3 linked regions of the Arabidopsis thaliana genome follow. The protein of the gene in region 2 interacts with the protein of the main gene of each other region in a pairwise test. Each region holds a gene or a part of one and is shown on either strand. Other genes may lie near its edges. The genes, in order: AT5G25940, AT5G24000 and GONST5.

Evidence for each region.
Region 1: the proteins of AT5G24000 (region 2) and AT5G25940 interact in a protein complementation assay, tested with the Arabidopsis thaliana proteins (one large-scale study listed by BioGRID).
Region 3: the proteins of AT5G24000 (region 2) and GONST5 interact in a protein complementation assay, tested with the Arabidopsis thaliana proteins (one large-scale study listed by BioGRID).

The regions. Positions count from the first base shown.
Region 1 is NC_003076.8:9,053,530-9,056,948, forward strand, and holds AT5G25940 (early nodulin-like protein), read right to left. Parts: upstream 1,727-3,419; 5' UTR 1,623-1,726; coding exon 1,517-1,622; intron 1,433-1,516; coding exon 1,371-1,432; intron 1,114-1,370; coding exon 1,038-1,113; exon of another isoform or gene 827-1,037; coding exon 723-826; 3' UTR 593-722; downstream 1-592. Other genes in the region: AT5G25930 (kinase family with leucine-rich repeat domain-containing protein), read left to right, coding at 31-449.
Region 2 is NC_003076.8:8,109,657-8,114,849, forward strand, and holds AT5G24000 (keratin-associated protein (DUF819)), read right to left. Parts: upstream 3,120-5,193; 5' UTR 3,037-3,119; coding exon 2,768-3,036; intron 2,699-2,767; coding exon 2,472-2,698; intron 2,290-2,471; coding exon 2,179-2,289; intron 1,950-2,178; coding exon 1,791-1,949; intron 1,460-1,790; coding exon 1,218-1,459; intron 1,048-1,217; coding exon 724-1,047; 3' UTR 529-723; downstream 1-528. Other genes in the region: AT5G24010 (Protein kinase superfamily protein), read left to right, coding at 4,254-5,193.
Region 3 is NC_003070.9:7,676,428-7,680,412, reverse strand, and holds GONST5 (golgi nucleotide sugar transporter 5), read right to left. Parts: upstream 2,206-3,985; coding exon 2,092-2,205; intron 1,996-2,091; coding exon 1,746-1,995; intron 1,651-1,745; coding exon 1,443-1,650; intron 1,261-1,442; coding exon 1,029-1,260; intron 938-1,028; coding exon 716-937; 3' UTR 570-715; downstream 1-569. Other genes in the region: AT1G21866 (Plant thionin family protein), read right to left, coding at 2,633-2,914. UniProt on the Arabidopsis thaliana protein: GDP-mannose transporter that may be involved in the import of GDP-mannose from the cytoplasm into the Golgi lumen.

The sequences.
Region 1 (3,419 bases), 940 kb from region 2:
TGTGTGATCTCTAATATTTTTATGTTGCAGAATACGCATATACGTCAAAGGTAGATGAGAAGATCGATGTGTACAGCTTCGGGGTAGTTTTGCTAGAGCTGGTGACTGGAAGAGAAGGAAACAACGGAGATGAACACACAAACTTAGCAGATTGGTCATGGAAACATTACCAATCTGGAAAACCGACCGCAGAGGCGTTTGATGAGGACATCAAAGAAGCTTCCACGACTGAGGCGATGACAACAGTTTTCAAGCTAGGTCTCATGTGTACTAACACATTGCCTAGTCATAGACCTTCCATGAAAGAGGTCTTGTATGTTCTGCGCCAACAAGGACTTGAGGCGACGAAGAAGACTGCAACAGAGGCATATGAGGCACCTCTACTAGTTAGTTTATCGGGTCGAAGGACAAGTAAAAGGGTAGAAGATGAAGATTTAGGTTTTGTATAATCAAATAATCACAACACTTGATGTTGTTTTTTTTGTGAAATGTACAAATGTATTAGAAACCATTTAGTTTTTGTGTAAGCAAAGTTTTAGTTAAGAGTATAACTACCAGCTTGTAACTTATTTGAGAACAAAATCTGAAAGTCTGAATAAAAAATGGTCTTAAAGAATTTGTTATTCCTTATAATAATAACACTCTTATTAAGAATCAAGGCAAAATATGCATACAAAACAGAGAAAGATGATGATTGATTTGTGTTACAATAAGAAGAGAAATTATTTAGAGTCTTGCTGAACTTTCTTTAACTGAGCCTCGGTGTTTCTTCTTGCGCCTTGTAGAATCGTTTTATCCGCGGTTATGAAGAACGCAGCGATAGAAGCTGTTCCAATGATCACCATAATCACAAGATAGAAATCAGAAGAAAATTGTGGAGAAATGAATGTACGAATACTTAAAAACCCCAAACTCAACTAGGTTCAAAAGGGAAGTTCGAGGTTTCTACAACAATGTTAAAGCTAGTATCTTTTTTCTACTTAGTTCCAGGAAGAACATATAGTAATGATTTAAGGCATATTGCTGATAGAGCTAACCTGAAGAAATAATGAGTGCTTGAGCAGTGTAGTTGAGGTTTGCCTTAGCCCACGGGAACATACGAACGGCAGCTACCTGTTACGAAAACAAGGCATGCTTATGTACCAAATTCATATCTTATATACACATCAAAAAGAATGTGACTCTACTTGGTGTATTCAGAAATCACAAAATGAATAGGTAACAAAATTGAAACTCTTGATTATTACAGAACATGAGATTGGTGAGTCACTTTTGTCTTAAAATTCAACAACAAAGAAACATAACTCTTACATTTAATTCATTTAAGATCTCAATTTAAAAAATTTAGATAAGTGAGATTATATGATTACTGTGGGAATCGCACTGGCGACGGCGGCAACGGCGGCGGCCTTAGCTCCGGCAATAGCTCCGGCTGTAACATAATCCAAAGTCATCAATTTAAAAGATTTTTTTTAGGGGAAAAAAGAGAGAGAGAGACGGAGAAAGAAGAAGAGACCTTGTTTGGAAGTTTCGGCTCGATGGATCTTAGCAATCTCGTCGGGAGAAGCTATGACGAAGAGATTCTGCTGCCTCCGGTTACCCATTTCTGACCGATTTTCCATTTTCAGTGTCGCTTTTTTGATCTTTCGATTTCAAGGAGAGAGAGAGAGAGAGAGACGGGTCGCGATTTGCCTTTTTCTTTGGTTAGGAAATAAATGATTAGGACGAAAATTAAAAATTCGTTTTTTTTTTTTATAAGTTGGGAATCTTTCACCAAAATAATGAAACGCCAATATTGAAAACAAAGTTGTCAAAATACTATAGTCTATAAAACGCCAATTTAGAAATGTATTTCAATCATGTATTTAGAATAATTTGTGTTAGAAAACAGATAAAACAATTATTATGTTATAGATTATTTTTAAAATAAAATAAAATTCAGTGGTTCGTAAATGTTTGTTATTGAGAATATTTTAAATTTTAGATTTTTAGTATTTTTAATGCACAATGGTCTTTTGGAGCGGTTTTAGAAATCGACTTAAGAAATGTTTGGAGTCAATTTTGTTACCATACGGATATCTTTAGAGATATAAGAAATTAATCGATTCAGTTTTAGATAAAATTTATAAGTGAAAAAATGATTAAAAAAATATAATAAATTAGTTAATTTCATTAATGATGATATTTTTGTATAGAAAGATAAATTAAAACTTAATTTTATATGTGATTAAAATAGTAATTTTTAAAAAATTGGTTAGTTTATTTTAATTACATAAAATTTAAAATAAAATTTTTGGTATAGAAGTTGAGTTTTAAATGAATTCGGCCTTAATGCTTCAAACATACAAAAGCGAAGATATAGAGAGCCCATCAAAAGTACTAGGGACCAACAGAAAATGTTAAGATTTTATTAATAGTTCAATATTCTTTTTTTAAAAATATTATAATACCTGAATTGGACTTGAGCCAAAGTTTTACAAATCAAAACAACAAATACAAAACGGAGGCAAGAATCTGACAATATCTCCGGTAGACGAGATCTTACTTCGGCGGTAGTTCAATATTGTTCTAATGATTTAACTTGATTGCTTAGATTGGATGATAGAATGTATTTCTAGTGTTCTAATTTAATTGGTTACTTGAACTTTGATACCCTTCTATTGCTATGGTTTTTATACACTTGTGGCAATGAGTGATATTGTAAATTAAATTAGAAAATATGGTGCTAAGGGATATGTGATATAATGCATATATATCCGAGCTACTCGAAAGTCGAAACAGGGTCTAAGCTTCCACCTATGGCTAATTGAGTACTTATGTGCATGAAACATGAGCATAAGAGGTTGATGGAGCTGTTTTACTGTATGCATCTTTCTGCAACCCAAATCCAAAGAGTAGTTGTAAATTTCATGAAAGTGAATGTAATGTCTATAGTCATGTCATAATGTTACTGACAGTCCAAGAGGTGAAGAGCGGTGTGCGGGTGTCTCCAAAATTGTATGTGGTATATTGTGTTTTTAGTGTCTTATGTCCTTTGTCTAGTGTTTGTTTTGAGTTGTTTGTCACATTTTTGTTCGTTTTTAATGTATTTTTCGGTTGTTTTGTACAAGTTTTACGAAGTTATACTGGAATTGGAGACTTTTTAAGTGAAAAACAGACGTTAGGAGATGAAACGGAAAAATGGTGATTCAAGACAACTCCGATGAATGCCATCAGACAACTTTTTGATGCTTAATTTTAAATTTTCTATCAAATTCCACTGGAAAATGGCATCGGACAATTCCCTGATTGAGCACCAATATAATTGAACCCTACCGCAAGAAGTATTGCCTCCTATAAAAACAAGTTGAGAACATTTTCAATGCGAGTTGTCTATAAAATTTTCGGTTGCAAATAAAATATAAATATTATTATTTTGG
Region 2 (5,193 bases):
TTGGTACTTGTTGTACTACATCTTTACTTATTCTTAGCTAATATATACTTTATCTCCGCATTAAAAAAATATCATATTACACTATCCATGTCTTTTATTGGCTAAATTGGGCTCTCCATATCAATATTATGGAAAGAGCAGGTGTGTCGAACACATACTAAAGACTTTGTTCGGACCTCAAATCTAAGTCATGCATGTGATAGGTACATTGCATATTTTGTTTTTGGAATCGAAAGTTGCAAGTAAACGCATAAATTTCCAACCATGCTAATCTAAGTTTCATAGGATAAATCAAACAAAGAAGGATGAATCTAGCACTACTTTTGGTTACAAAATATTTGGAATCAATAGAATCTTATTAATATGGTAGAGTTGACTTTTGAGATTGATATGGGAAAGTACAGTTGACTTTTAAATTACGATCTCAAGTACGGTTGACTTGTATTGAAAGAGCGGTACAATAGTACAATCAACCGTACCACTAGATGTATATTAGTATTAGTCAACTAAAAAAAAATCTACAGACAAATTTTATTTTATATTTGAACAAGTAAAGCTCGCAAACCAATGTAAAATGGTTATTGTTTATGAGATAAATGCTTGTTTTGTATGAAAACACTGATAATTTGGAAAACAAAAAGATTTAAAATTTGTTGAGAACAATTAGCAATTTACAAGAAGTCTAGCTTCAGAATCCTCCAATCATTAGAACTGTTTAGAAATCTATAATCGTTTGAGGACAAAAACTCCACATCCAATGCCTAGAAAAGTTGCTATGGAGACCCCAAAAACACCAGAGAGAATCCCGGGGACGACAAGAGAAGTCCATCCTTTTGCGGTTGCCATGGCACACGCAGTGGTTGGGCCTCCGATGTTAGCATTTGATGCAAGAAGTAATAGCTTCATGTCGATACAGAATAGTTTTCCTAGAACCAAAGTCACTGCTAGATGAACCATTACTTGAATAGCAGCAAATAAGAAGATACTTGGGGCAGTGTTGATTACATTCCATACACTCCCTGTGGCTCCTAGAATTGTGAAAAATACCTGAACAAAAAAGATTCAAAAACAAACCATGGTCTGAAGTCCTCGGGCTTAATCAGGGATGGGCTTTAACAATGAGAATAAGGGCTCAAAACGGGTCAGACATAGCCCATTTTGCCAATGACATGTCTAATTGGTTCTAAATAATGGATAAAGTGTAAAGAAAGAGATACCTGCATGAGAATGAGAGAGATGGTTTCAGCAGAAGGTGCCAGAGAGTTGAAGAAATCAGGGAAGGATGTTGCCAAGACAATGGTGATGGCTGTTACTGCAGGAAGCATAACTCCTTGTATCTTAAATAGCGTCGTCAACGTAATTGCAGCTTTGCATATCAGGAAGGAAACTGATAGTGCAATTGAAGTTGAAACCACTCTGTTCTTGTCCTCGAGCTTGTCATCCTTAGTCATGTCAGCATCTGCCAAAGATCACAAAAACTTGAATAGTAGTGTTTATATGTGGATGCAAATGCAGTTAGAAGATGAGAAACGTTATGTAATAATGTCAAAACTCAAAAGTATTGAAAACTTATTATCAAGTCTTAATTTGATAGGCACATTATATGTATTAATAATAACTATCTTTACCAACATTCACTCAAATCAATTTGACAACTAACCAAGTAGCCCTAGAGTCACCAAATCCTTAGTTGGTCCGACTATTCGCCATAAGTTCTTTAGTAATCCTCTCACATTGCAACATACTTACATACCTTATATATACAAAATGTGATCAAGATGGAAGTTTACCAGGGGAAGATGCTGAGGCGGTCTCAGGGGGTATCTTTGAGGCCAACGCAAACAAAACCATGAAGTGAAGAGCACATATGACATTATCCACAGCTACACCCGCTGCTATAACAGATGGAGATATCTGTAGAGCCTCCGATATCGCAACAAAATTAAGGGCTGCAGAACAAAAAACAAGAACCAACAATTTTATTCTCATTCCTCTTGAAGAATCCATTCCCAAGTTGTGATAAACATCTTACAAGCCAATTTAGCAAGATTTTCCTCTTTTTTCGATAAACGAAAATCAAGCAAAGCTAGAATCTTTTCGGCTAAAGAAGATAAACATTGAGTACCTCTGTCTGTAAACAAGCCAAAGAAGCAATGAAGGGGCTCCAGACAAACTTACATCCACCAATGTAACTCCCCATAAGAGCAGCTGCTATTTTCCAGTTATCCGGACCAAGCGATCTCATCGGTACCAACATAAAAGCCACCACTGTTCCAACAATCGTCGCAACTACAACAAACCAACTCACAAATTAATAAACCACTCAACACATCATCAATAACAATGTCACTTCACAATCAATCTTTTTAACTAAAACCACTCAAAGACATAAACTTTTGTTAGTCTTAAGCATGAATCCAAACTAATCCCAATCCAAAAACTTGCCTTTAAGCAAAAGACTAAATCTTTACCAGATCCAATTAAGAATGCAAGAAGCAATGATCCAGTAGATCGGATAATACGACGGAGATCAGCTCTAAACAACAACAATGGAATCGTATGCGGCAAGAGAAACTCCATGAAGAAGCCATACGACGGCGTTTCAAACGGAATTAACCTTAAATTGCTAGCGGCGAGCCCAAGTAACGTACTTGTCAACGCACCACTCACCATACTTCCAATTTTCGTCTTCTCCGACCTAATGAAGTCGGTAATTTCATCAGTATACAAAACCCTAGTTTCAACAGAGAGGATTGAGGTGATTTACCAGACACCGAAAGCTCCGGCGGCGAAGAGAGCAGCCCATTGTGACCAGTGATCGTCTGGGGAGATTAGAGGGAATCGTAGTTGTGAGTAGACCTTCACGCGCCGGCGTCGAGATGAAACAAGACGATGTGGAGTGAGTGTTACCGGCGGCGATTTGTTACGGCGTATGGTTATTGATGATGATAAGTGGTGGCGGGAAGGAGACACGTGGAGCGATGAGATTGTGGGGGACAGTGGATTTGGTGATACCACTGTGAATAGAAGAGCCATTGCACTTTTTAGATACACCAATTAATGTTTGAAGTCCCATATTATACTTTTGGAAACTTATTTTTTTTGTTTCCTTATTCGGCTAAACAAATTTATTGAGATATCAAATTGACGAGAAGCATATTAATATACCACATAATGAATATGATAAAAGTTTAAAATAAAATTTAACAATATTTTTTTTCTAAAACTTTACTCTATTTTCTATTTTTGTAATCTATTTCTTGATACGAAAAAAATAACAAATAAGAAATAAATAAAATCGATAAAGAAAGTAACATAACATAGGAAGACGAAATATATAAGAAGAAAATATAATGAATAGTATGAAAAAAGAAAAATAGTAAAAAAAAATTATGATTAGCTTCGTTTGGTGGAATTCTCTTCTTTTTAGTGTTTTCATGTATTTTATTGTCTTCTTGTTTATCAAGAAAAAGAAGTTAATCTAGACTTTGATAAAATGATGGATCATGGATGCCCATAAAAAGAGTACTTCTAATTTTTTTTCTATAACTTTTTTAAAAAGGATGCATTCACTATAACAAGGTTTGTTGTATGAATAAAATTTTACATACACTCAGAAAAAAGAAGAAAAAAAGAAGAAGAAGAGTACTTCTAATTTGGTGACAGATGCTTCCTTATATTTCCTTCTAATTATTAAATTAGTATCGTTTAGGTCTATTGGAATTAATGAGTGAAATATTAAACCTTGCCTACAATACACTAATTAATTTATTTTTTGTAATAATGTGTCGGTCCAAACCTTGTTAGTTACGCAATTAATACCATAATAATCACACCACCTACGATGAGTTAATCCGTAACACCACAAATTATATCTCAAAACTGTTTCTATCTAATTCAAAAATGAATCAAACATCCCTACTCATAGCGTACACAAATGATTAACTAAGAATTACCAAATCAGTGAAAATCAACTATATTTAATAGAAAGCAAAACTTTTTGAAAATGATTGCCACCGAATCACAAACAAAATCAGGTTTAAGCTTCCTTTGGTTTCCCATTGCTGTTGACAAACTTCGCTGCCTAATGATTTCACAAACACTTTCTCTTTCACTTACCTTTAGTGGGAAAAAAATACGAATACAGAGAAGTGACAGCAAAAACCCACTTTCTAGTTTCTCCATCTCTTCTTCTCTTTAATATCATCAAACCAAAACCTTTCTCAAACCTTCCCCAAAAAAGCTTCACTCTAATGGCGTTTCCAATAAATCTAACCCAAACCCTTCTCTTCTTCTTCTGCCCTCTTCTTCATCTCTCTTTCGCTGCTTTCACTCCAACTGATAATTATCTCATCAATTCCGGTTCTAACACCAATACATCTTTCTTCACAACCCGTTCTTTTCTCAGCGACTCTTCAGAACCTGGCTCGAGTTTTCTCTCCACCGATCGATCCATCTCGATTTCTGACACGAACCCATCTCCAGATTCACCCGTTTTGTACAACACAGCTCGTGTTTTCCCCGTCGGAGGATCATACAAATTCCAAGTCACTACCAAAGGCACTCACTTTATCCGTCTCCATTTCGCGCCTTTTAAAGCTTCGAGATTTAACTTAAGGTCTGCTAAATTTCGAGTTTTGATTAATGGGTTCTCTGTGATTAACAGTTTCAGTACTAGCTCCGTCGTTGTTAAAGAATTCATACTCAAAATCGATGACCCTGTTTTAGAGATTTCGTTTTTGCCCTTTAAAGCTTCTGGATTTGGGTTTGTTAATGCGGTTGAAGTGTTTTCAGCACCTAAGGATTATATAATGGATCAAGGAACGAAGCTTGTGATTCCTAACTCTGCTCAAATCTTTAGTAACTTGTCATCTCAAGTTCTTGAGACTGTTCATAGAATCAACGTTGGTGGTTCGAAATTGACGCCGTTTAATGATACGTTGTGGAGGACTTGGGTTGTTGATGACAACTATCTTCTCTTGAGAGCTGCTGCTAGACGTGCTTGGACTACTCATTCTCCGAATTATCAAAACGGTGGTGCCACGAGAGAGATTGCTCCGGATAATGTTTATATGACTGCTCAGGAGATGGATCGAGATAATCAGGAGTTGCAGGCAAGGTTTAACATTAGTTGGGGGTTTCAGGTTGATGAGAAACGAGTTCTTCATTTGGTTCGTTTGCATTTCTGCGATA
Region 3 (3,985 bases), on a different chromosome or scaffold from region 2:
GGTAGCTTTGCGATCTCCAAGACACAGACATCTTTTTATGCTGTTTGACTGTTTTGCCCTTTTCTCTTTAACTCCTTTGACCTGGTTTCAGACTACTGTAGCATGAAGATTTTTTGAAAATTGATTTTTTGTAAGGGAAGGATATGGCGGTAAATTCAGCAACATAAGTTGAGGCCCACTTGAAAAAGCCCATTTTTTACTTTTGAGAAGCTAAAGCAACGAATTTGATGAGCTGTTTTGAGAGCTAAAATATTCGTTTCCCTTAAACACCGTCTTAAGCTCTTTCATGTATCAAGGCGGGAAAATGAATAATCATTTCTTATATATTGTCAAATTAACTTTCTATTTTCATCTTCTTTCAAAGATTCCCAAACTTGCACCATTTTGTCATGTATTAAGTCTCTGATGTTAGAACATGGCACTATGGCACAAACAAAATTGGAAGGAAAAATTAAAAAGCTGAGGTAAGTGAAAGCACTACCATAATTGAATACAAAAATGGGCCTGCTTTAAGTATCTTTGTGGTCATCTCTGAGTTGGTTTGATGAGGATAGATAATTTAATACAATGGAAACAAATAAAATGGCACTTCTCTAACTTCTCTAGTTTGAGTAAAAATAAACATATAGTTAAACTATAACTCTCTTGTGGATGTTCAAGATCAAATCTAACTTCTTTGTGTGCGTTCAATAGTCTAGTGACTTACCGATGATATTCAAATTTTACTCTCGAGTTTATCATTAACAAGAGGGATCAGTTCCATCTTGTTCCTTGGGGTACGAGGAGTCCTAGGAGTTCCGGGTTGTTGCTGAGAAAGCATGTGTCTTACATATCCGTAAAAGGTGCAGCCCACAAGTGTGATTCCGCAGCCAACAGCATTCATCGGTGATATCGGGTTTCGAAATATCATCCATGAAACAAACACAGCTACTGCAACCTGCAAATCACATACCATCCATCAAACATCTGAGTTATTGAAACTAGAATATAAAGATTAATGTTATGTGGTTTGGGATTTGTTCATTTACCTTAAGGTTTCCAGCTACATTGAATGTGACTGCTGTTGTGGATTGAATGACATAGAAGATGGAGAAGTTAAGACAGAAAGCTAGAACACCTGAGTTGAAAAGAATTATGAGAGCCGACCATGGAGATGGATGTGCTTCAAACCAATCCAAAATTCCATTCCTTTCTAGTAAAAATGCAGGTAACCCGAGAATCATGGTCGCGAAAGGCGCCATATAGTATACCGTGTTTATGCTACATAGAGAGACATGAAAATGAGGAGGACACAAACACTCAGTTCCATGAAATATGAAAAAGCAAATCAAGTATTGGACTATGAGAGCATGGCATGTCATTGAAACCAAATGTAAGTTTCACACATTCAACACCTATCATGTGAAACTGAAGATCAAAACCTCAGGAAACAGAACATTGACCTGTCAAATTTGTATCCATGAAGAAGAGATTCTGCAAGAATGGTCTTTGTAGAGGTAGCTAAACATCCAAACAAAGCAGCACAGAATCCAAACACATTAAAGCTAAGTTCTGTAATAGAAGTAAGAAGAATCCCTCCAACAATAGGCACCAATGACGCCCAAATACGCCAATCAAAATATTTCCTCCATACCAACCACTGTAACACAACTGCACTCAAAAAACCATTACACAAAAACCAATCAGAACAATAAAAAAAAATCACTTTATTTTGAAAAATTCTCAATCTTAAAAAAACCCTAAACCTGTTGTTGCAGGAGTTAAAGATTTGATAGTCTGCATAAAAGAGACAGGAATGTATCTAAGACTAATATTCCCCAACACAATGTTGATACAGAACACAAATGACATTGGAAAAATCCTCCTCCACCTATCTTCTGGATCAACCACAATCAAAGGTTTAAGCTTTAAGACTTTAATCACAATGTATGCTCCAATCGACGAACATATGAAATGAACACATGAAACTGATAATGGAAACTTGAAATCCAGTTTCTGCAAACAAGGAAAGGTACCAAATTTCAAACGCAGATCAGATAAAACAAACGAAAGGCTAAGTCTTTAATGATAAAAGTAAGAGACTTTTTAAACCTGAAAGATCCATTTGTTCATGATGATAACAGTAACGTTAAAACCCCACCATTGAAGAATCGATAACAGAGATCTGAACATAGTCCATTGACGCCACAGACTTCCTTCCTCCATTGATGGGTTTTAAGAAGTGAGTCAGAGAAGGATCCAAAAGATGAAACCTTTAGGAATGTGGCAATGCAAAAGCTAAATAAGAAACCCTAATTAAAGCGCCAAGAGAAACAGAGTAACGGTTCTGTTTTATATGCGAGAATTCTCTTTTTCTCTTTAGTAAGTTTCCGTGTAGTTAAATGCAAATATGTTTATGCAGCATAAATTATGCTTATACAAGTTACCAATTTTCAGTTGTTACATATATAAATATAAATAATTAGATTTTTAACAAATTTTCCGTATACAAGTAAATATTGTTAAAGATAAAAAATTATGGAAGAAGGATACATAAATACTTGAAATATTGATCGATACATTGATACAAAAAATCATAAATATATAACTTATGCATAGAGAAAGGAGACAAATTTTTTGTAATGTGGATCAATTAAGCGGTACAAATCCAGCTAAATGCTCTGCAGAACCTTTTTATAGGACCACCATTACCTCGAGGGACGATGTATCGCTCGTTGTTGAGAGGATCACATATAATCTTGCAAGGGTTGGCACATATGGCTGGAGTCGCTTTCTTTGATGCTTTCATGCACTGGTTCACGACACAATTTTTGACACACACATCTATCGAGTTGGAATGAGCTGAAAACATCATTGCAAATAAAATTACAATCATCAATACACTGCAGATTTTCTTTGACACTTGAGTTGCCATGTCGTAAGTATTGTGAGTCTGAAAATCTTAAATTGTAATGTTTTTTTTCTTTCTTTTTTCTTTTTGTTGTGGTTTTGAAACAAGATGATTTGGTGAGAATGTTGTGTTGATTATATAGTAAAAATAGTTTTAGCTGATTTTAGAAGTAACTAACTATTAGGAGGTCAACTTGTTTTCGTTTCTTTTTCTTGGCAAATATATCGATTGATTTCTGGACAACTTATATGTATTATACTGTTTTGGTCATCTAAACAACTATTTGCATGCTATGCATAAATATAGTAACACTAATTGCTCATATTTAAAATATTAGCCTGTACAACACATATCTTAGTGGCATTTTCTTCTTAAAATTCGTGACCACGTTTTTGTTACGAAAATCGTAATATGCACATGACATGGTAAAGAATACATACCGTTAACAAGGAATGATTACCTTTCACTGTACATAATTTTTTAAGATCATTGAATTTATCATTGGACACTAAAAATCTTTCCTTTTTTAAAAATGAAAAATAACAATTCCACCAAAAGTATCCTAAAAACTCAATGCCTAACTAAATCACATTGTTATTTTTCATGTGATTTAAATATTTTGGCGATCATCGGGGTACATTCTTTCTTTCAAACCTATAGTTTTTCTTAAATATGGTGAAAGATTCATCAGGAACAAAAAGAATACGTAATCCTTTTGTTTTGTCTATAATTTTTGAGTTGAATACATATATATATATATATAAGTAGGAAATTATGTACATTTGTTTATAAGAAAACGTAAGGAAAATATGTACTTTTGTTTATGAATAAGTAAGAGGTTCTAGATACATACAATACACTAAGGCGGATTAGATCATTTAATATGACTCCTCCCAGGTAAATATGTACATTTGTAAACATAATTTTCTTTCATATTGTCTTTATCGTCATTTTCCTCCATGAAAACACAATAAACTTTTTTTTCATAAAATCTATAAATTCAAGACTAATATAATTTGATTGAAAGTATTTATTTTAAAAATAAAATCCATATTTGTTTAACATCTTCAGTTTTTTCCATAAAATTATTAAATT